4 linked regions of the Arabidopsis thaliana genome follow. The protein of the gene in region 4 interacts with the protein of the main gene of each other region in a pairwise test. Each region holds a gene or a part of one and is shown on either strand. Other genes may lie near its edges. The genes, in order: TT2, MYB4, MYB5 and TT8.

Region 1 (4,373 bases), on a different chromosome or scaffold from region 4:
ATTTACAAAACAACTATAACCTAAAATTCAAATTTTTAGTTACAAAAAAATCGAACAACGGTGTACAGCGGAGTAAAGTTTACATTATATCATCTAATTGATCAAATTTCAAACAAAAACAATTCATTTGTATATACATCAAACTAACAAAAATACACAGATTTTCCAAATATCTCTATATTATTCCGCAAATCAAAACAAATCTAACATTCGATTTACTATGCAAAACACAAATGAAATATAAATAATATAAATTAATAAAAAAAATTTAGTTATTATATCATAAATAACACTATACACTTTTCTATGCACATTATAATTTATACACTACAATATCTTTCACTAAAAATGTATTCTAATACATTTCTTAAAATATGAAACCCCGCACGTATGTGCGGGTCAGAATCTAGTTTCCTTTAAAATACAAACACTTTTTGATGTCCAATAAAATACATGATTTTTTAGTATCCTTAAAATACATAAACTTCTAAATTGTACCCATAAAATACAGGAGATAGGGGGAAAATCCGGAATATTCCTTTGTTTTGTTTTTCAAATATGTACTGGCACATGACTTAGAACAACCATGCATCTAGTATTTATTTATACGATGATTCCAAAAATGAGAAGAACAAATTCCTTACATTAATGACTATGCCTGCCTATAAATAGACTATACATGTATATTCTAGTAATATTTCGTAATAACAAAATTGTAAAGTTGATTCGTATTACCAATAATTCACAAGTAGAATTTATAGGTTGGGTGGTTAAGCGGTGGTTAGGTTATAATAAAAGCTCTATCATTTGCTCATACATAAATTTACAAAATCTATCAAAAATATTTATGTCGTACGTATTTGCAATAATAAAAAATTATTAGTTAAAGACAAAACCCATTTCTATAACATGTGGATCGTATAATTATTTGTATTTCTTGGTCTCCTTAGTAAGTTAGTAATTAGAAGCGTTCAGACAAATACAGATATACTTTTGTCCGTATAGAGAAATATGTATTAACGTAGGTTTTTGCAATATAGGCTCAACAAGTGAAGTCTCGGAGCCAATCTTCATCGTCGCCACGATGATGACAAGAAGTGAAAGGTCTATTGAGATCGAGATTACCTTGAGCAGGAACCAACTCTCCCAAAATCTCGTTAGATGAAACAAGAGATGTAACGTTTCCACAGTCCAAACCATCAAAATCCATCAAATCCGGGAAGTGAAACTCCGAATGGATCCTATCGAAATCGAATTCGAGATCTCCCATCAACGAAGATCCACCTTGATCCATCTCTTGTTCTTTCAGAGGTAGTGGACTAGTACTACTCTTCTTCTGAAGAGAGAGATCCGAGAAGAGAAGAGTCTTTGAGCACCTAATCGCCTTTGTACGTATAACACATACATTATTCTCGTTGTTCGTCGAATGTTTTATACGTTTTGGTTGCTTGGTTTGAGTTTTGGGAAGTCTTTTGCGGAGGTTTGAGTTCCAATGATTCTTTATTTCATTGTCTGTTCGGCCTGGAAGCCTCCCAGCTATCAACGACCATCTGCTTTAATTATAATGTCACATAACAAATAACTTTACTACAAAAAGAAAATTCTATGTGGTTAGTGAAAAACCTGTTTCCAAGAAGATTATGGAGACGGATTATGAGTTCTTCTTCATCAGATGAGATGTTACCGCGCTTTATCCCCGGTCTTAGGTAGTTCTTCCACCGAAGTCTACAGCTTTTGCCACACCTCTTGAGACCTTTTATGTGTGCCAAGACAATTATTGTACGTAGAAGATATAAAGACGGATCGGTAGATAGAGAGATTAGTACCAGCTTGGTTAGGGAGAGTGCTCCATTTGCCTTCGCCGTGAGTGGTGATGTAATCTCTAAGGATCTTGTCTTCATGATCAGTCCAAGCTCCTCTGTTTAACTCTTCTCTCCTCACACTAGTAGTTGCTCTCTTTCCCATTCTCACTTTTCTCTCTCTTGTGGTTGTGTGGTTGGTACAATTGTCTTTAGTGTTGTGTTGAGAATAGATTCTGTTTTTGTGTTTAGCTGAGTATCTTTATAGGGGAGTTGTTGATATGTCCGTACATCAGTCGCTTTCTAAAACCTCTGTCATACACACTTTGAAATTTTAATGCTTTCTTCACCTGGTAATAATTAGCTTTGGTGAGGTTAATTTTACCGAATTTTAACATCTACAAAGAGTTTTTCTAAGCCAAGTGTGAATTTAGGCCTGGGAGTTCGGCAAATCGGTTTAATCGGGTCGGGTTATTCGGTTTTAGGGAATTTCGGTTTTTGGAAATGCTTCCGAATTAAACCGAATTTAATTTCGGTTCGGTTCGGTCGGGACTCGGGTTTTTCAGGTCGGTTATCTAGATTTATTTAACTTCCGAAATAAAACTGAAAATTTTCATATTCGGTTTATTTGAACCGAATTAGACATGTATCAAATACGGGAAAAGGGTATTTTCATACCCGTACTATTTTCTGAGTGTATTTTCGTATCCAAAAAAATTTGTTGGGTATTTTCATATATTAACCGCATATTTATTTGAATTTCATACCTCAACTTAAGAAAAAGTACAAAATTCAGAGTCAAAGTAACGGGTGTTAGTCAACTCCGTGAAGATGATAAGTCAGCAGACACATGGAAAATATGTGTCTATAACGACGTCGTTTTACGTTATGAACGTTTAAAATGTTAAATTTGTTGGGTAGTTTCATATCTAAACCGCATATTTATTTTAATTTAAAAAAAAGATTGCTAGGTAAACAAAGTATAAGAGAATACATGGTCACACATACCTACTATACATTGTATATCCAGCTACACGAAGTAGACACGAAGTAGATGTATTACATGACCACATATATGAAGTATAGGACGTCATGTGGTTAACACCATTGACATACAATTCCGGTAAACCGGTCAGTTGACTCAGGCTTTGACTAGTGTTGACCGGCGTTGACCAACAAAAAAATTTAAAATTATTTTTAATACTCAAAAATACGAAAATATTTTTTTTCTTTTATATATTCAAAAACATATTCTATATTTCGTAAAAATATATTTGTATTTTCAATGCATTAAATCTTATAATAATTAGTTTTATTTTTAATTTCAAAACTAAACTAAAACTAGAATAAAAATCATTATTAAACTTTAGATTAAAGAGTCATATACTCAATTGTATTAGGAAGCAATATGAAATTGAGTATATGACTCTTTAATCTAAAGTTTGCATGGTAAAGAAAATTATAATATTTTTTATATACTCTTTAGTCTAAATTTATTTTTGTATACTATGTAGTTCCTTTTGTAACAAATATTATTAAGAAAAGTTCTCGTAGTAACACATAAACAACCAAAAACTTGCAATTTTTCTTTTTAATATATAAAAAGATAGAAAATCTAACAATGTTGATTTCAGCAAAAAAGTTTTTAAAATAAAATTCATTTGTATTACGTTTTATTCTAATAATTTTTGTGGTTGATTTTTTTTTATAAAAAATATTGTATAGAAATAATTGAAGTGTTTTAATTGACACTATAAAAATAAGCAATTTCCTTACTTAATTAACTATAATAATATTTTCCTGTTTTCATTTAAAATTTAAAATTTAATAATGATTTTTAATCTATTTTTAGTTAAATTTTGATTTTTTTTGTAAAACTAATTTTTCTAAGATTTAATGCATTGAAATATAGAATATGTTTTTGAATATACAAAACCAAAAAAAAAATATTTTGTATTTTTGAATATTTAAAATAATTTAAAAGATTTTTTTGAATTTTTTTGTTGGTCAACGCCGGTCAACCCTAGTCAACGCCGGAGTCAACTGACCGGTTTATCGGAATTGTATGTCTATGGTGTTAACCACATGACGTCCTATACTTTGTATATGTGGTCATACAATACATTTACTTCGTGTAGTTTGAATTTACTTTGACATTGTTTTGCGTTATGAACATTGAAAATGTTCGAAATTGTTAGATATTAATGATTCCATGTTGCGATAGAATATCGATAATGTTAGATATTAACAAATATATAATCTGGATGAAATGGTTAGATATTCTGTTAAATGTCTTTAAAGACGTGGGTTCGAATCCTGCATGTTGCAAATTTTTTAACATTTAAAACGTTCATAACGCAAAACAACGTCGTTTTAGACACATCATAATTCACGTGTCTGTTGACTCAACATTTTTCACGGAGTTGACTAACACCCGTTAGTTTGACTATGAATTTTGCACTTTTTCTTAAGTTGAGGTAGGAAATTCAAATAAATATGTGGTTTAGGTATTAAAATACCTAACAAATTTAACATTTTAAACGTTCATAACTCAAAACGATGTCGTTTTAGACA
Region 2 (4,826 bases), about 12 Mb from region 4:
TCTTCATCAGAATATGATATATATCAAGCCCCAGTGCTAGTGACAACAACTTGTCATTTGGTGATCATATAATTTCTCAAGTGATTATACCAGTTTTTGAGATCTTACCAATTTTTGGCCAAAACAAAAAAACAAACACACAACTGGAGTATATAACCATTTGATCAATTTTAAAACTAAATCTAAATATATACGAGGAAATAATATACTGCTCTATTGGGATTTGAGATGATAATTAATGTAGTAGCTAGAGAGGGTTTTTGTAGTGTTGAGGAGAGGATATCAACGAAGGAACATGTACAACACCGATTTTACCAAGCATCTTACGATAGAACAATGTTTAAGTTTACGAGTCGCTACTCTTTCTAAATTCAACCATGTGGCTACATTCAATGAAACTCCTATACATAATTTTTATATGCATGCATGCATAAATATATTATGTGGTATATGGATATACAGTATATGTATGTTATGCATTCATGTGTAATATGTATGTATGTATGTATGTATGTATGTATGTATGCAGATGTAGATCGCTTGCAAGTGGACAAAAGATGAGGAAAGGTTGGTATATAGGTTGGTAGGGAGATGGGTAGTGAGAAATAAATAGAGTTTGGTAGAAGAAAGGGTCCATTGGTTGTTGCTTCCTTTCCTTCATTTATGGTTTTCATTATTTTCTTTTTCTTTTTCACATATCTCTTTCTTTCCTTTTTTTATCTTAAAAACATTTAAGTTTTCTCCTACCTCCTTCTCTTACAACTTTTCTATTCCTGCCAAATTAACTACAAACCTCACTTTCCACTTGTCATGAAACATTTTCGATTTATCTTCTGTTTCACGTTCTTCTCCTAGATCTTTAATTATAGATCTTAACAAGGTATCATCTATACCAGTACAATCTAAGTATTATGTGATCAAGTATCTTTGCCATACTCGTAATCTTTTTTCTCCTTATTTGGCTTATCTCCAACATTGGATAACGAGTTATTTGGGCAACCAACCTAATCTTACCTCATAAACTGATAATCTTAATCGTATACAAATTAATTACAATAGAGCTATACGATCTAATGATCTATATTTTTATCACCGATCGTCTAGATCCGGTATTTAATATTTATGCCAATGGAGTTAATTTGTAAAAGAGAAAAAAAAACAAATTCTATATATTATAATTCACCAGTTAAATTTCTCATACAAGTTGAAGATATACTTTCAAATTATCTAGGCAAAAGTTTTGTACAGTTACGCCTAAAATTTGACAATATTATTTCATCTCCAAGCTTCGAAAGCCCAAAAGAGAAGTGGTCTCTTTCTTTGCCAACCCTAAAAAATCAAATCCATTGCTCATGTCACTCCCCTTGCTGCTACCTCCGACTACATCGCATCTCATTCTTCCGCATCTGCACTCCATGCCGTTTATCATCCCTAAGCTGCACTTGAAACAACGTGGCGTTGTTGACTTTCCATGCCCTTGAAGACGATCAACATCATCAGGAAGACTGATTCTGAGCTCAAGATTCAAATCTGGGAACTTTTCTTGAACTGGGCACTCATCTTTTTCTTCTTTGAACGTAAGCATTGAGATTTTCTCTGATTTTCCCGGAAAGCTTATACTTTCATGGAACGTTTCGACCTTTGGAGCAGAAGTGAATGAGATATTAATGGTATTACTCGTAACTGGTTCTAGTTGTGTAGGTTTAGAATCTTGAGAAGCTGATGATTCTTGGATTGGTCTATGACTCGTTGGATCAATCCCTCTGTTTATAAGCTTTCTTCGTATATGCGTGTTCCAATAGTTCTTTATCTCGTTATCTGTTCTTCCCGGTAATCTCCCGGCAATAAGCGACCATCTATATATCATCAACAAAAAATAACATCATTTAGATAGATTGAAAACTCCAAGATTTTCATTTTGTATAAATTAAAACGATACTAGTTTTTTTTGTTTTTTTTTGGGTATAAACGATACTAGCTAGTTAAATAAGCCCATATTTAGAGAGTATAGTACTCACTTGTTGCCAAGAAGGCTATGGAGCTTGATGATGAGTTCGTCTTCTTCCTCGGTGAAGTTTCCACGCTTAAGGTCAGGCCGGAGATAGTTGATCCACCGGAGACGGCAGCTCTTGCCACAGCGAAGAAGTCCGGCGGCTTTGGGGAGAGATCTCCAGCAGCCTTCTCCATGAGCTTTAATGTAGGCGACGAGCCTCTCGTCCTCTTCTTTCGTCCATGCTCCTTTGTTTGTGTGAGCTTTCTCACAGCACGGTGACCTTCCCATACTTTTATGTTTACTTTCTTTCTTGTGGTTTAGATCTTATTTCGTCTCAAAATCTTATATATAGGCAGATCAATTCTACTTGTTATTTTATATTGAGGGATTGGCTTTTAGCGAGGGTTTTGGCTAAAAGGGTATAAAGGGATTAAGTTGTTTTTTTGTGTAGTGGAAGAGGATTGAAGCATTTGGTGGGGCACTTGGATTTTGGGTTTGGTTGAAGGTTCAAAGCTTTGGTGTATAGTTTATATAGGGTTTTGACTTAAAGCTAGAGAGGAATATACACACATATATATATATACACAAATGCTTCTAGATGATAGAAAAGGAGAGAGAAAGAGAGTTGAACTTATAATTGCTTCTAGATGTGAGTTGGTGGGATGGATTTGAATGAGTAGTGTATGGTGGCCTTTCGTTTTGGTACAATAAGTGAGAAGCTTGACATATATGGCATCATAGTCTTTTGATAAAGCTATGACATTTTTTTAATAATCATGACAACAAATTTAATATTTCTCACTTAAATATATATATATATATATATATGTAATCAAAGAAATTTCTCGTGTTCGTATATACATAAACCAAAATTATTTAGCTACTTCTTTAATTTTTTTTCTTTCTTTTTTTACTTTGCAACAAGTTTTATTTAGTACAAAATATAAACCAACTCTGTCAAGAAATTAATCAATACATGACAATTCGAGTATTCGACTGTGTACATTTATTGACAAATCGTCTTTTAACTTCGACCGATTTAGTACAAACAGTAATTTATTTTTATTTTTTTGGAGTCTCTTACCTATCGTATGAATTAAGTTTGTAGTAAAACTTAGGCGGGTGAAAATTAATGTAGAAAACCTAAAATTCAGTAAAACAAAAAGTTTGTGAATGGCTTTTATCGCCAGATATTATAGGTCACAAGTAAAAATTTGGGTCTAACAAAGGAAGGGGAAACTTGAATAATTTGGTAGCAATAACGAAGAGAAGATATAATGAAGTAGTGGAGGTAGGTGGTAAAGTTAATGAGTGTTTTTTGGACAAGTGCAGGTCAACTATATAGCCTATGAGGTTTTTGTTGTACTGGTCAACAGTCTTTTCTCTAATATATAGACTGCACTGGATTAGTTATTGTTTTTTTAATCAATAATATATCTAGAACTTAACCCTAATACAATCACTTGCTAATTAAACAAAGCATTATCAAATAACTAATTATATGTGTGGGCAGGATAACTTGTAACTTATATATGGTTTTCAAATTACTCTCACCAAATGACAAGCACTTCATGTTTAAAATATTTGTGATGATGCTCATGTTTCTTTAATATTTCAGTATAAAAACAATACAACAAGAACCACCATGACACATACATATAAATTAGAAATATACATATATGATAAACTATTTGAATTAAAGAATGTGCCTTCTAGAACCTTGACTTAGAATGGTTTTCTCTAACCAACTTCTATTTCTTTCATATTAGAGACTTGAAAAATCAAGACTTATTAAGAGATATTTTTTTAATAATGTTGAACTCTAACTGGACGGAATATTATTATAGCACTAATCGTATCTATATTTTTAGAATACGATCGACAACACTAATCATATACGTATGTAGTAATTCGTATGTCAGGAGAATAGTTGAAGAATAGAACACATAACAGTATATAGGAGAGAATAATTAAACTATAGTATCTACTGTGTACTGTCCATGTATGCTAAACAAAAAAAGTTGAACTTAATTGTGAAATTTGGTAAGTTAGGTGGAAAATGTGAGAAGAAACGAAAAAGAATAATGGTTTATTGAAAAAGATGAAAAAACCGAAAAAGAGAGAGAGAGAGAGAGAGAGTAGTTGAATTTCAATTTGTTTAATCTATTGGTACAAAATCACTCACCTCATGCATGATGATGGCCCTCTTCTAGAAGGTTAGGTTCTTAGCTAAAGGCCAAGATTCTTCAATTCATCAACAAAAGTTTACGTCCATTTACATCTGAATCAAAATTAAACCCCAATCAGTCAGTTTTTCACATTCACTATTTATACCCAATTAACTTATTTACTGCTCTTTCTTTTTTCTTGCAACTAAATTGTAAGAGACAAATTCGTAATATTGTTTTATGAAAAACCAAATGCAGCAACACTACATGCAAAACGTTTTTTAACATCATGGGAGAATAATAGTTCTCCAGGTGAATTATTCTCTCTGTTGTTTTTTTTTGTTTTTTTGTTTTAGGAATAATATGTTATTACTTGTTAGTAGTACTACTAATGGGATTGTAAATGACGTGGAGGAAATAGCGATGTGCTATAATATAAAAGCAAAACTTGTGTCACAAATATAATATAGAAGCGAAATCACAATGTACTGATTAATTTGGCATTTTCTTTAAGTAAATATACTGATATTAAAAAAGAGTAGGATAATTATATTATTTAGGTTGCTGCCAAAAACAAAAAAAAACTATATATTATTTAGGTCCGTATGCGGTTGGGACGTGGGATTTGGTTCACCTTCCACTTTATTATTATTGTTTTAATAATG
Region 3 (5,169 bases), on a different chromosome or scaffold from region 4:
CCTAAATTTGATTGACTTAAATGCAAACTCATAAAATGTTGTCAAATACCTGAACAATACGAAAGAGGGCTGGCATGGGTTGCAGATCATAGTAAGGAGGTACACATGTCAGAAGTTCGATAACAGTGCATCCAACGCTCCAAATGTCAGAAGCAGCACAAACTCCTGACATTTCAATAACCTGAAACAGAAGTTGGGCTTCTGTCAATACGTACATAATCAGGTAAAAGTTCTCTAAAGGAGCAAACAAAAGCATCTTTCAAACAACAACAAATATTGTTTCAAAACTGCGTACGAAAGCTATACAGAATATGGAGATGGAAAATATATAATCAAAGGTGTACCTCAGGAGCCATCCAGTAAGGAGTTCCAACCACCGAGTGAGTATTAACATCAGCCTCGTTAAGTTTAGTGGCAACTCCAAAGTCAGCAAGCTTCACAAGACCCTGAAGTGTGATGTAGTCAAGTATCTTTCTAAGGAAAAAGCCTAGAAGAATCTTATCCAGCAGATCTCAAAACAAAAACACACTGAAGACATGTCTGAGAATAGATAATATAGAAAACACACCTCCTTTGTCGTCAAAATATTTGCACCCTTAATATCACGGTGTATAACACCCTGCTCATGCAGATATACCAAACCTTCCAAGACCTGTATTCACTAGTTAGTACACAATGCATAACGAAACTTAACTCAACTTGAAAGATGTATACAGACCTGAGCAATGTAAACAGCCACCAAAGATTCTGGGAAAGGTCCAAATTTATTTGGTTTAATAATGTTTGCAAGAGAGCCATTCTCAACGTACCTGCAAACACATAATTGAACTTGAGTTTCCCGTCCATAGTCCAGAGTGGACCAAAATAAACAAAAAAAGCTACTTACTCCAAAATAATGTGAAGGTGAGTCTTTGTCTTCGACGACCCAAGATACTTCACAATGTTTTTATGGTTCAAGTTCTGCAATGAAATATTATCTCAGAATACATAGAGAAGAACTGCATCTTAACCAGCATCATAACCATTCATGAGAAGAAGCCAAAATTCAGAAGGTGATTGATTTGACATAAACTTAGTATCAGGATCCCAACTCTGTAAACAGTACAAAATTCAGAAAACTACCTTCAAAAGATCAATTTCTTGCTGGAGAAATTCATCCCAACAGCACAAGAATCATCCACATGTAAAAACCAGGATTAGTCAGCATAGCAGTGGTAAGGAACAAATAAGGAAGATAGATATAAGGAAAATAACAAACCATAATGGTGTTAAGATCCTCTTGAACAATATTTTCCAAAGAGACTTGTTTAATGGCCACAAAGTCACCATTCTCCAAGTCTAATCCTTTATAAACTCGACCATAAGCTCCTTTACCAATTTCATCTCCCAGCATCTACCCTCAACATATCAAGGATCAACCATTGAAATTAATCAAAATTGAAGAGAAAACAGCAAAAAGCACCAGACTTAAGCTTAAAATCAATAAAATTACTAAAGCTAAAATCTTAAGGAGACCCATTAGAAAACCCAAATCCCAGAAATTACGGAGAAGAAGAAAGCTCACATATTTGTTGTCGAGAGTCTTTGATTTGTGAAACTGAGATGACGTCATTTGCCGCGCCATCTCTTCTCGTTTCTTCTTCCTCCGTCAGCAGAACAAAAAAAATGCAGCGAACAGAACACAATTGCTCCTCAAGGAAACAGAATCCAATAAGAATTAGGGTTTTAATTTTTTGAGAAAATTGAAAGAAAAGATTTCGAGATTGGTGGAGTTGAAAGATCAGAGATGCCAGCTCTATTACAGTAGTGAAAATACATGACCAAATTTTAATAAAATCAAAATTAAGAAAAAGGAAAGAACAAAACAAAAGTTTTGGGTTAGAAATTGACTAACTGTAATAAAGGAGAGGTAATTATGTTAATTTCTCATGCGCCTGTATTCTTCTTTATTATGTGGCCCATACTTTTTATTTATTTACGATTTCACCCCTTTATTTCCCGATTTGTAAAAATACTAGCATTTTGTCCAATTACTGATTAATCATCTATTTAAAAGGTGGTCCAAATATTTAATGCTTTTTCACTGGTGTCAATTTTAATTAAGGTGGTTAGTATTCATTAATGTATTATCAACCATTTTGTTATAACTTTCTCAATTGTAGGAGCTGGTATAATCGGATGTTTATAGCCAATCAAATTATAATTCATAGTAGTATCAAATCTTTAATATAAATAACTAGAAGCAACTAACCTATGCATTGTAATAACATTAGCCATTTGGATTTCAATATGATTGTTACTGCAAAATCTTTAAAATGAAAGGAAAAAAAAACCACGCAGGTGAAATAAAAACCAAATGAAGATTATTACCAAACGCCGAAGCTAGCGCGTGAGAGAAAAGGTCGGTAGGTTCATTGGTAACATCAGCAGACTAATGGAGAGAGAGAAACTTTGAGAAAAGAAAAAAACAACCAATCGAAGAACTCATAGAGATCACGAAACCCTAGTGGAAAGAGAGAAAGCTTTGTTGAAGACGGCGGAGATGATGTCATGTGGTGGGAAGAAGCCAGTGTCTAAGAAAACAACGCCGTGTTGCACGAAGATGGGGATGAAGAGAGGACCATGGACGGTGGAGGAAGACGAGATTCTTGTGAGCTTCATTAAGAAAGAAGGTGAAGGACGGTGGCGATCGCTTCCTAAGAGAGCTGGTTTACTCAGATGTGGAAAGAGCTGTCGTCTACGGTGGATGAACTATCTCCGACCCTCGGTTAAACGTGGAGGAATTACGTCGGACGAGGAAGATCTCATCCTCCGTCTTCACCGCCTCCTCGGCAACAGGTATATATATAGATATTAAAAAAAAATCTCGTCAAGTATTCAACTATACAAGATCGTTTAGTTTATATGCATACGTATGTGTGTGTCTCTCTCTACCCATACACTAGAGTTATTTTTTTGTTTAAGCTAGCTAGGGTTTTATTTCTTCCACATAAACATGAAGGTTCTGATTTTAGCTTGATCCCATTTTTTCTTATAGCTATATAAAACAATTATACTTTGATTCTTGATTCGATATTTATATAGAACAAAAGGTTAATCCCTTCTCTAGTTTCTTTAGAGTATAATTTTAATTAAGTTGATTCTGGTTCTAGAGCAAATTAATAGTTCTAGAGATCATTCATTCTTTTTTCAAATTGTTTATGATTACTAGGATAAAAATGCAAGCTTGTTTTGTAACCATATTAGTAATTAACCGCTCTTGTTCTTCATGGAAATTCTAATGTGTGATGCAGGTGGTCATTGATCGCGGGAAGGATACCGGGAAGGACTGATAATGAAATTAAGAACTATTGGAACACTCATCTTCGTAAGAAACTTTTAAGGCAAGGAATTGATCCTCAAACCCACAAGCCTCTTGATGCAAACAACATCCATAAACCAGAAGAAGAAGTTTCCGGTGGACAAAAGTACCCTCTAGAGCCTATTTCTAGTTCTCATACTGATGATACCACTGTTAATGGCGGGGATGGAGATAGCAAGAACAGTATCAATGTCTTTGGTGGTGAACACGGCTACGAAGACTTTGGTTTCTGCTACGACGACAAGTTCTCATCGTTTCTTAATTCGCTCATCAACGATGTTGGTGATCCTTTTGGTAATATTATCCCAATATCTCAACCTTTGCAGATGGATGATTGTAAGGATGGGATTGTTGGAGCGTCGTCTTCTAGCTTAGGACATGACTAGATACAGGAAGATATATAGTTGATCGAATCTTGATGTCTTCTATATCTACCATGCTTCAAGAAGGGGTCACAGATGCGATCTAGAAGGTTGGCATATATGTGTACTAAGTTGTTTTGTGGTGATTTGTGTGATTATTATAAAACCATAAATTGTGAGTGTAACTGAGTACACAAACCTCTATTTATATATATGGATATATCTATTGCGAATAAATGAATCATCACTATCGTTAAATAAGACTCGTGGTAAGCTTTTGTCAAATACAGATAACTAATAAGCATGTTCACAATCTTAAATTATGGTACTAGATATGTTTCTAAGTTTAATTTCTTCAAGAAGTTTATTTAATGTAAACAATACAGGCTAGCTAAGTGCTAACGTTAAACTTCATATCCTTGAAAACAAAAATACACTAAACTTTATAAGCTATTAAACATATTCCGGACAGTTTACATACTAAAGTACGATAATAACATATATGTTGTTTGAAAAAAAAAACATATATGTTGCCTATAGGTTTATTATGTGTTTGCGTCACCACACGAGTTGAGGTTATAAAACTCTATTTTCATGTAATACTAAATTAAAACTCAAAAATGTTTGTTTTAAGTATTTCAGACACAATTCATGAGTTGTATATATAAGTTGAAACTTATAGGTTCTTTTTATCGATGAGGATATACTATAAGTTCGAAAATCAAAGTTTGTTGCGTAGTTCACATTTACGTATCTTATAGTAAGACCAATGTTGGTCGAAGATATAGTTTTTTACCTATGCATGCAGATTTATTGTTTAACACAGTTTTATGTATATATATGCTTACTTCATCACAGTCTCTCGTCCGTGCGTTCTCCCTCTAGAATTCGTTACTTAAAACCAAAAAGAACACCATGCCGTTTTCACATTGACTCTTCACACGTTCCCACATTTACGCCATATAAACTACCCTTAGTTAAAGCCTAGGAAAATTGAATTATAGACCAACATTAGCGGTTAGAATAATTGACGTTTAATTTACATAAGTTTTTACTTTTTACTTAAAACGAACTTCGCATGCGACTATGCTGCTCCGACCTAACCTTCTCTTTGACCCTTCGGTTCACATCACAGCAGCAAAAATAATTAACTAACCGATAGTCTCTGGCTCAACCAAATTTAGACGAAAATGATTTATTGCCAAAAAATTCGTAAACCTAAGACTCTGATTAACAAAATTTTAGTGTTAGATACATAGTCATCATAAGATTGGATACTATATATAGTCGATATACTGGATATATCTTCCAACATCTCTAGAGGTTTTACTCAAAACTTCAAGAGAAATATATATGATGCCAACGAAGGGGAACATTAAATAAAAAAATAAGATAAACAAATTGAGTATATACATGTGATGCATAAAATGACATATTCATCTGCAT
Region 4 (7,835 bases):
GAACTTATTTTTTTTTGTAAAAGTATGGAATAACTAAAAAACCGGGACCAAACCAAAAACAAATCGAATCCAAACCGAACTGAGATACATATGGTTTTAATATTTATAAAACCGAACCGGAACCAAACTGAATTACATACTGTTTTTCTGTTTTTCTATGATTATAGTTTTTATAAAACCGAAAAAACCAAACCAAAACCAAATCATAAAACCGTACGCCCACCCCTATGAGTTGTAAGAGTGGTTCGATTTAATATAATCTCCTGTTTACTTTGATTGTAGTTCTCGGTTCAGGTTGGTTAAATTTTTACATTAAACCAATTTCAGTTTAAAACGATTATTATAAAGTTCTGAAATTAAAATAGGTTTGACCTTGGATTATCTTGAGTCTTTTTACCCTGCCATCAATTTTTGGTCAAAGTAAGTTAATATTCATTTAAACCGTTTTTTTTTTCTTTTTGGCAAGGTTTGGTATCTGAATTCAATCAGAATTCTAACAGTTCATACCGAAATCAAAGAATCGAATGGGCCAGGCCAATTTTAAGCAGCCTGCTAAGTGCTGAAACTATAGAAAGATATCTTACACTATTGAACACCACTATTCAAGAAAGAAGACAACAAAGGAAGTGGAGCCAATGCAGTTACACATCTTGCAGCTTTGATAATGTATGATGATCAACTAAGAGAAAAATATATATAGCTCATGCTGCAACTATGAACATTGTCAATACATTTATCTCGTTGGTTGATAGCTTAATATTCTTGACTTATAAATGTTCTTCCATACACTAATTATGAGTATAACTATTAGTCTACTCTAGAAATTGTTGATTCTTACACTAAAACGCAATTTCGTAATTTTGCTGGAAAATTTGATTTCGTAATTTGATGTGCTACAACTTGATTCTTAAAATTGAGCACCAAAGTAGAATGTAATGTTTTATATAAACTCTTTGATTTCTCTAATCTGAGGTTAATGATAAAATTACATAAATTATGACATACAAATTTTGGCATAAATTATTTTAATGAATTTTGTAAAGATTTTTTAATAATATTTTCTCAAATTTGAACGTAAGAAAAAACTACATAGAAATTCTACATCTTTATGCATCAAAAAAAATATGATGTTTTAGATGCAACTGAATCTGCATCCAAATATCGCATTCATACAAAAGTACTAAATTGGACAACGAACAACATCGTCATCTAGTACATTTGCATTTATATGTTGCAATTGCATCATACACAAGTACTACATTGGACAAATGAACAATATCATCTAGTACATTTTCATTTATATGTTGCATCCGGCTATATATGTAACTGATGTCTTAATACATGTGAGGCTAAAACAAAAATACGCTTAATTATCCTTCTCTAGAGTTGGCATCAATAAAGTTAGGGTCTATAGATTAGTATCATGTATTATGACTTGGTGGATGGCTCTTTTGACCTCAGCGATGCTTGCTTTCTTCCCTCTTACTTTCGCCCTTATCTCCGCCTCGAAATCATGGTCGTTCACCGAGGTATGAACTGCCGTAGTCTCTATACCAAGCTCATGAAGAACCTGAAGAATGTCAAGCAACAAACCATCTCGGTACTCACATCTCATCTCTAACAAAACATCATTCTCTATGATGGAAACCTCCACCTCCTCCGATGTTTTTCTCTTACAAGTACGCGTCCGCTTATGCTGTTGCTCATGATGAGTATTCTCAAGCTCATGGACCCTCTTTCGAAGATGATTTACGTACGCAATGGTGTCTCCAAGGATTGAGACTTTATCCATCTTGGTCACAAATGGAACCATTGATCTCAACGTTATGAATTTCTCGTTCAGCTTCTCCCTCCTGCGTCGCTCTGCTACTACGTGGCTCAGATCTTCCCGCGGTAGCCTCTTATCTTTAGTGTTGTCATGGAGGAAAGGAACTCTGAAGATCATTTGTTTGAGCACCCATTGTGACGACGGCGCCGTTTTCACTTGCTGATGCTCTTTGCCATTCTCAACCCTCCACGTGGCAAACGATGATTGGATGTAAGAAGATGTGGAAACTGAATCTGAAAGAAGACTTGTGGGGTGTGACATGAGAAGTGTTGTTACTGTCTGAGAATAGTTTCCACCTTCCTCCATTAGATTCATCATGTCCATATGTGTGTCTACATATATATACAAATGATAATTTCTTAGATATAGCGAAATAAATCCGCAAAATATAAGTAGCTTAGGGTAGATATATATACCTAACGTATGGGTTGATTCAATATGAAGATCAGAGTGTAGATTTTGATTGGAAACATCTTCATCATCAGGAGAGCCAAGCCTCATTTCCTCTGACATTGTCATCTCTTCTTCTACTTCTTCTTCGTCTTCGGCTTCTTCATGCACTTCGTAGGTGGAGTGTTCAGAAAGAGCCGGCTTTGGGTTCGTCTTGCAGTGGTCATAGAAGAAACTCTTTGTGAGCTCAACAAACTCTACATCTTCTCTTACCTACACACACAAATACAACAAATAAATATTGATCCATCACTACAAAAAAAAGGATAGATTACATCAATTAAATAGTATCACAAGTATAAATGGTACAAGTTTAAATTACTTATAAGCAAATGACACAAAATAAATAATTAAACATCAATTATAATAAGTGATGTATAAATTAACATGTTTAGCGTCACTTTAATCAAATTGATAGAAATTTGTATTAGTTTGCATCATTTTAACAAATTGATACAAAAATCTGTATTTACACCAATTAAATAACCGATGTATTCACTTAATTTTATTAACATCAGTTTATAAAAATGATATAAAATTATACATCAATAAGAAGTGATGCTAATAAGTTTTTCTGTATTTTAATTTAAACAAAAAACTAACTTGAATTTATTGTAGATGACGAGAAATTGTTATTACCATAAATAAATAATCATATTGGGTTAATAATTTATTATTAATTCCTATATTTTCCCTCAAAATCAGCTAACTAAATATATTTGTTTCCTTCACTATAAATCCTGCTTTTACGCTCACGATCTTTTTTTACAGTTTTGTATCCAAAAACGTTTTTAGAATATCTTCAAATTAGTTTTTGAAATCTCATAACTCTCATTCAATTCTTCATCTTCAACGACAAGTACTTTCTTATTTTTCTATCATTCTATCTTTCTCTTTTTCTTAACCATTGCTCAGTTTTTTTCTTTTCTTTTATTTTCAGAAATCTGCCATTGATCATTAGGACTGTTTGTTTTCCTACACAGTTTGGAGAAACACAAAGTAAAGGTACTCTATCACTTTCTTTTAAAAATACTTACAAATGGTTATTCTTATTCCGACCAAAACAATTCTGTAAATTTTCAAACAATTACTCTCTTTTTTATTTTGTACAGCAGAAACTCAAGTGTGATGAGGATTCAAGAGATATAAGTTATAACCAAAGTATGATTTTGATTCTGTAAATGGAAGAGAGATGGCATAGAAGAAGAAATGGTATTTTTCAAGAAGAACCAACAGTTAATGGAAGGAAGAAGCATGGAACAGAAGAAAGATGTGTTTAAACACGAAGAAACCAAAACCAAATTATGATTATTTTTTTGCTTATCTTATATAAAGATTTATTGTTCATGTAAAATATTTTATTAAATCTTGATAAAATTTTAGTAGATATTCCAACGAGTAATTATCCACAATGATCTGTTATTTAAAAAAAAAAAAGAAATAAATAAAATAATTATTTGAAATATTAATAACATTGTATTAATAATTATATATATATTAATTAAATCAGTTATTTAAACCGAAACAAATACTAACATCACTTAAATAAATTGATGTAAACATTACATCATTTTTAGTAACTGATACAATATTGATATCAATTATAATAATCGATGTAATTATTTTGATTATTTACATCAGTTACTAATTAACTGATGCAAATTATTTGCATCAACAATATTTAAGTCACTTATTTAAGTGATACAAAATTCTTTTACATCACTTTTAACTAATGCAAATATTTATAATAAATGATGTAAAACAACCTTTTTTTTGTAGTGCATCTCCTTAATTTAACATTACTAAACCTAAAGAAAGATAGGCTATATTCACTTTGTTATTTTGTTTATATATTTCATTAACAAGTAAATAAAAGAGAGAGTATATACAACGTTACCTTTTTCGTTGTGCCTAGTTCCACAACACCATCAAGCATTGGAATGCAAACCACTGTCTGCTTTTTTAAAATACATTTTCATCAGAATACAATTCTCAAATCTTACTAAAAAGAGCAAACTAATAAAGACAAATTTTACCTGAATTTTAGCACTCTAAGTCATTGAGGAACCGACGTAAAAGGCCCATAAAACGACAAGAAGAATTATTCAAGTTAATCAGTGAAAATGTATAAAAGTATAGATAAATAGGTTTACAAGTAGATAGATACATAGTATAGTGTATACATAAATAGGTAAAAATAGATGCATAGTATAGTTGGTGAATGAATAAAAGAATTTACCTTAGCGAGAATAGCTCTAGAAAAAGTTTTACTGTCAACTTCATTTGCACCACTTAGCCATACGTGCTTCCTCCTTGCATACGCTTTTCCTGGCATCCTACAAATTACTACCTCCCAAATTTATATTTGATTTTTTTTTACCACATAGAGAAAAGCATGAAGTATACCCATAACTAACCCATTTTGTTATGCATTTATGTTATATCTATTCATGCTTCTACTTTAGATAATCAATCACCAAACAATGAGAATCTCAACGGTCGCAATAATGTTCATGAAAATGTAGTGTGTGTACGTTTCATTAACTCTCATTTCTTTCTTATTCTAGTAACTCAACTTCCTCAGTTTCTCTTTAATGTCAACACAATATTTTCGATATTCGCATTTAACACACAATACTATTTTTGTCTTCACTTAGAGAAGGAAAAAAAAGAAAGAACAAATTTAGAAACTTGAGTATAGGGAGAGAGTTGTTTACCCAGATGGAGGAGGAAAAGAGAAAGAGACGCACATTAGATAAAACCATTCTGTCTCCGTCAAATCCTCCGGTGACAATGCGGTGCATGCTCTTGCTTCTGACGTTGACTCTCCGGCTAAAAGTGTCTCATAAAGCTCCCTGAGCTGTTGGCTCCTCTCTAACGCCGCCTCTTCTGCCGTCACCTCCGCTGGTTGAGTTGTCTTCCTCGTCTTTATTGCACCGTTGTAGTATCCATTCCCCCACACCAAGACCCTAAACAATGATACTTTCATATAAGTAGTTCAAAAATCTTAATAAATTTTGTAAAACCTTCAAAAAAAAAAAAAATTATTTCAAGATCGAATTGTAACACTACGACAAGCCAACAATTAGCCGAATTCATTTAAACATATAGTTTACATAATATATACGGATATAGATATTATGGTTGTATTGTGAGAGATGAATGAACTATAGAGATAAGAAACTAACCGTTGTTGAGGACAAAATTGCCAGAAGACACTATAAGTCCAGTCCACAGATTGAACCGCCGTCTTAAGCAGCCCTTGAAGCTCTTTTTTCTCAGCTCCGGCCACTTTCTCTGCCGGAATAATACTTGATTCATCCATCGTTCCCGGAGATACGAAAACGTGGTAGCTCTCTCTCTAAAAATCTTATAACTTTGAAGGGTTGTTATTAATATGTGAGAAGAATTTACTCTCATACGCTCATGATGACTTAAAATGGTATGGGACCACTGATTTTTGCAATATGCATGTATACGTATATCATCTTAGTGCTTTTGCAACATGTTGACATAAGTAAAGTATAATGCATGTAATGACTTCTATGTATATATGTATGTATATGAATGCATGACCAAAACTCAAGTGCATTAAAAGTTGACTTTTGATTTTTGAATGGTTGGTTCACCAGACGTTGGATGAGAAAGTGAAATAATGAAAGATCTATGTATCTTGTAGACGTGTCATATACTAATTGGACAAATCAAAATACAGAATGAATATATCTAATAATGCTATATTTATTTATTGTTCAGAAAGCATAACATATTATTGTAGATAAAATAGCTAACTGACAAACAAATGAAAACAAATGTTGCTTTGACTTGTGTTACTGCTACAAGGAGCAAAGAAATTGCGTTTTTCACATTTCTATTATTTATAAAATTGATATTAAAATTATATATTGATTAAAATGTTCATTAACAATTTTAAGAAGTTGGAATTATTGGATGAACATTCATATATATTTTCTTTAAAATGAAAAGATAAACTTAACCAAAGATGGGGAATGGTAGAATTGTTGACCTGACCGGTAAGTAAAGAATGAGAAATGGTTTGGTGTAATAAAGGAGAAGAATGAGATGTTTCACATTTGAGTTATTAAATTATTGATGTTAATTGCTAGCCAAGTAGCAGCCACTAGCCACTATAAGTTTCCCATTTAATAATGTCTTATAAAATATAAATGTAGATAGATACTGTTACGTACACATATCGTAGTACATACGATTTTGGGTATGGTTAAGGGTAATGTATGTACACCTGGTTACTTAGACAAAATCAACATTGAATGTTTCTTGGCTTTTTTGTCGACAAAATAAATGTTGCTTGGCTTTTGCTTCTGCTTCTGTGTTTCTTATTACATGTTGTTTCTTCTGAGTTTAGTCGTTCACCAATTATGTAACTCTGACGACGGGCCACGTGGAGTGGTTTCTTCTTATTGATTTTGCTTCTCCTTGTGTGCATCTTTGTGTTTATAAATAAAGGTGTTATGTAACTCATTTCTCATTGGAAATGATTCAAATAACAGAAAATAAACAATACTGTTCTAACACAGAAATGAGCGATTGGTTATTCACAATCACAAGGACAATGCTTTAGTACATAAACGAGAGGTTGGTTAGGCACAAATGTTAACTAAAACCCAAGTTCTTCCATTCCAGAAATGACAAATCATTCCTATTTATAATGCTTTGTTTTCAATGAAAATGACATTAGCCAAAAGTGTTTTGGCAAGAATTAGTTGTTGGAATACAATATATCTTTACAACGCACAACTGCATGAGCTTTGAAGGACCCCGGCCGGTTTATGATGAGAGTGAACTATTTGAAAAGTGGACCACATAATTGTAGAAAAATAATGGGTAATATAGTGTGATGCAAATTGGTGTGAAGTTTTTTGAGTTATTTTTTCTTTCTTTTTCTGAAATGTAATCATTCGTGTGAATGAGAGATTTCTTGTATTTTGTTCAATATATTAAGACCCGGTCCAAACCGGTCAGTTGGACCGTAATCCCATGATCCCGTTGGGGATCCATGGCTAAAATCGCCATGTATTGAACCCTGAAAAGTTCATCATTAACTTGTGATCTGACCGAATAACGATTTAAAAATCACTTACATCAATCTAGAGGATTTGATTTTATAACCTTTTACCACAGTTAGAGGAATTAGTTTGACATTTTCGGATAACAAATAGTATGGTTTTCTTTTTCCTAACCCTTTTTTGCTACCCAAAACCTAAGCTTTATAATCTTTCATAACATGCGTAAGATAGTAAAAATATCAAGCGGTAATGACTAATGAAAAGACAAAAGTCTAGTGTCTAGTGGTATATTTTAAATTCTATCAATAAAATTTTGTAATTTTTCTTTTAGTCGTGTGTATTGTAACATTGACTAAACTATGTGATTTATGATTCTTCAGATCTTGAGGAAGAAATTACATTATCTACAAAAAAAGGGTGTAAGTGATGGAGATAGACAAAATTTATTGCTGTGATGCTTTATTAGCTCATCTAATATGAAATTGACGATTTACTATTCTTTTAGTGTT

What was found.
Region 1: the proteins of TT8 (region 4) and TT2 interact in binary tests that used the Arabidopsis thaliana proteins (3 or more experiments, as listed by UniProt).
Region 2: the proteins of TT8 (region 4) and MYB4 interact in a two-hybrid assay, tested with the Arabidopsis thaliana proteins (one study listed by BioGRID).
Region 3: the proteins of TT8 (region 4) and MYB5 interact in a two-hybrid assay, tested with the Arabidopsis thaliana proteins (one study listed by BioGRID).

What each region holds. Positions count from the first base shown.
Region 1 is NC_003076.8:13,724,399-13,728,771, reverse strand, and holds TT2 (Duplicated homeodomain-like superfamily protein), read right to left. Parts: upstream 2,030-4,373; 5' UTR 1,966-2,029; coding exon of another isoform or gene 1,902-1,965; coding exon 1,624-1,901; intron 1,551-1,623; coding exon 1,043-1,550; 3' UTR 811-1,042; downstream 1-810. UniProt on the Arabidopsis thaliana protein: Transcription activator, when associated with BHLH2/EGL3/MYC146, BHLH12/MYC1, or BHLH42/TT8. Involved in the control of flavonoid late metabolism in developing siliques.
Region 2 is NC_003075.7:18,051,321-18,056,146, reverse strand, and holds MYB4 (myb domain protein 4), read right to left. Parts: upstream 2,788-4,826; 5' UTR 2,282-2,787; coding exon 2,019-2,281; intron 1,857-2,018; coding exon 1,271-1,856; 3' UTR 1,107-1,270; downstream 1-1,106. UniProt on the Arabidopsis thaliana protein: Transcription repressor involved in regulation of protection against UV. Mediates transcriptional repression of CYP73A5, the gene encoding trans-cinnamate 4-monooxygenase, thereby regulating the accumulation of the UV-protectant compound sinapoylmalate.
Region 3 is NC_003074.8:4,417,697-4,422,865, forward strand, and holds MYB5 (myb domain protein 5), read left to right. Parts: upstream 1-2,263; 5' UTR 2,264-2,542; coding exon 2,543-2,838; exon of another isoform or gene 2,839-3,293; coding exon 3,294-3,747; 3' UTR 3,748-4,055; downstream 4,056-5,169. Other genes in the region: MAPKKK7 (mitogen-activated protein kinase kinase kinase 7), read right to left, coding at 50-181, 345-446, 569-652, 719-809, 887-960, 1,123-1,143, 1,259-1,393, 1,565-1,624. UniProt on the Arabidopsis thaliana protein: Transcription activator, when associated with BHLH002/EGL3/MYC146, BHLH012/MYC1 or BHLH042/TT8.
Region 4 is NC_003075.7:6,179,835-6,187,669, reverse strand, and holds TT8 (basic helix-loop-helix (bHLH) DNA-binding superfamily protein), read right to left. Parts: upstream 5,790-7,835; 5' UTR 5,604-5,789; coding exon 5,467-5,603; intron 5,248-5,466; coding exon 4,996-5,247; intron 4,615-4,995; coding exon 4,518-4,614; intron 4,330-4,517; coding exon 4,315-4,329; intron 4,233-4,314; coding exon 4,176-4,232; intron 2,492-4,175; coding exon 2,245-2,491; intron 2,161-2,244; coding exon 1,409-2,160; 3' UTR 1,147-1,408; downstream 1-1,146. UniProt on the Arabidopsis thaliana protein: Transcription activator, when associated with MYB75/PAP1 or MYB90/PAP2. Involved in the control of flavonoid pigmentation. Plays a key role in regulating leucoanthocyanidin reductase (BANYULS) and dihydroflavonol-4-reductase (DFR).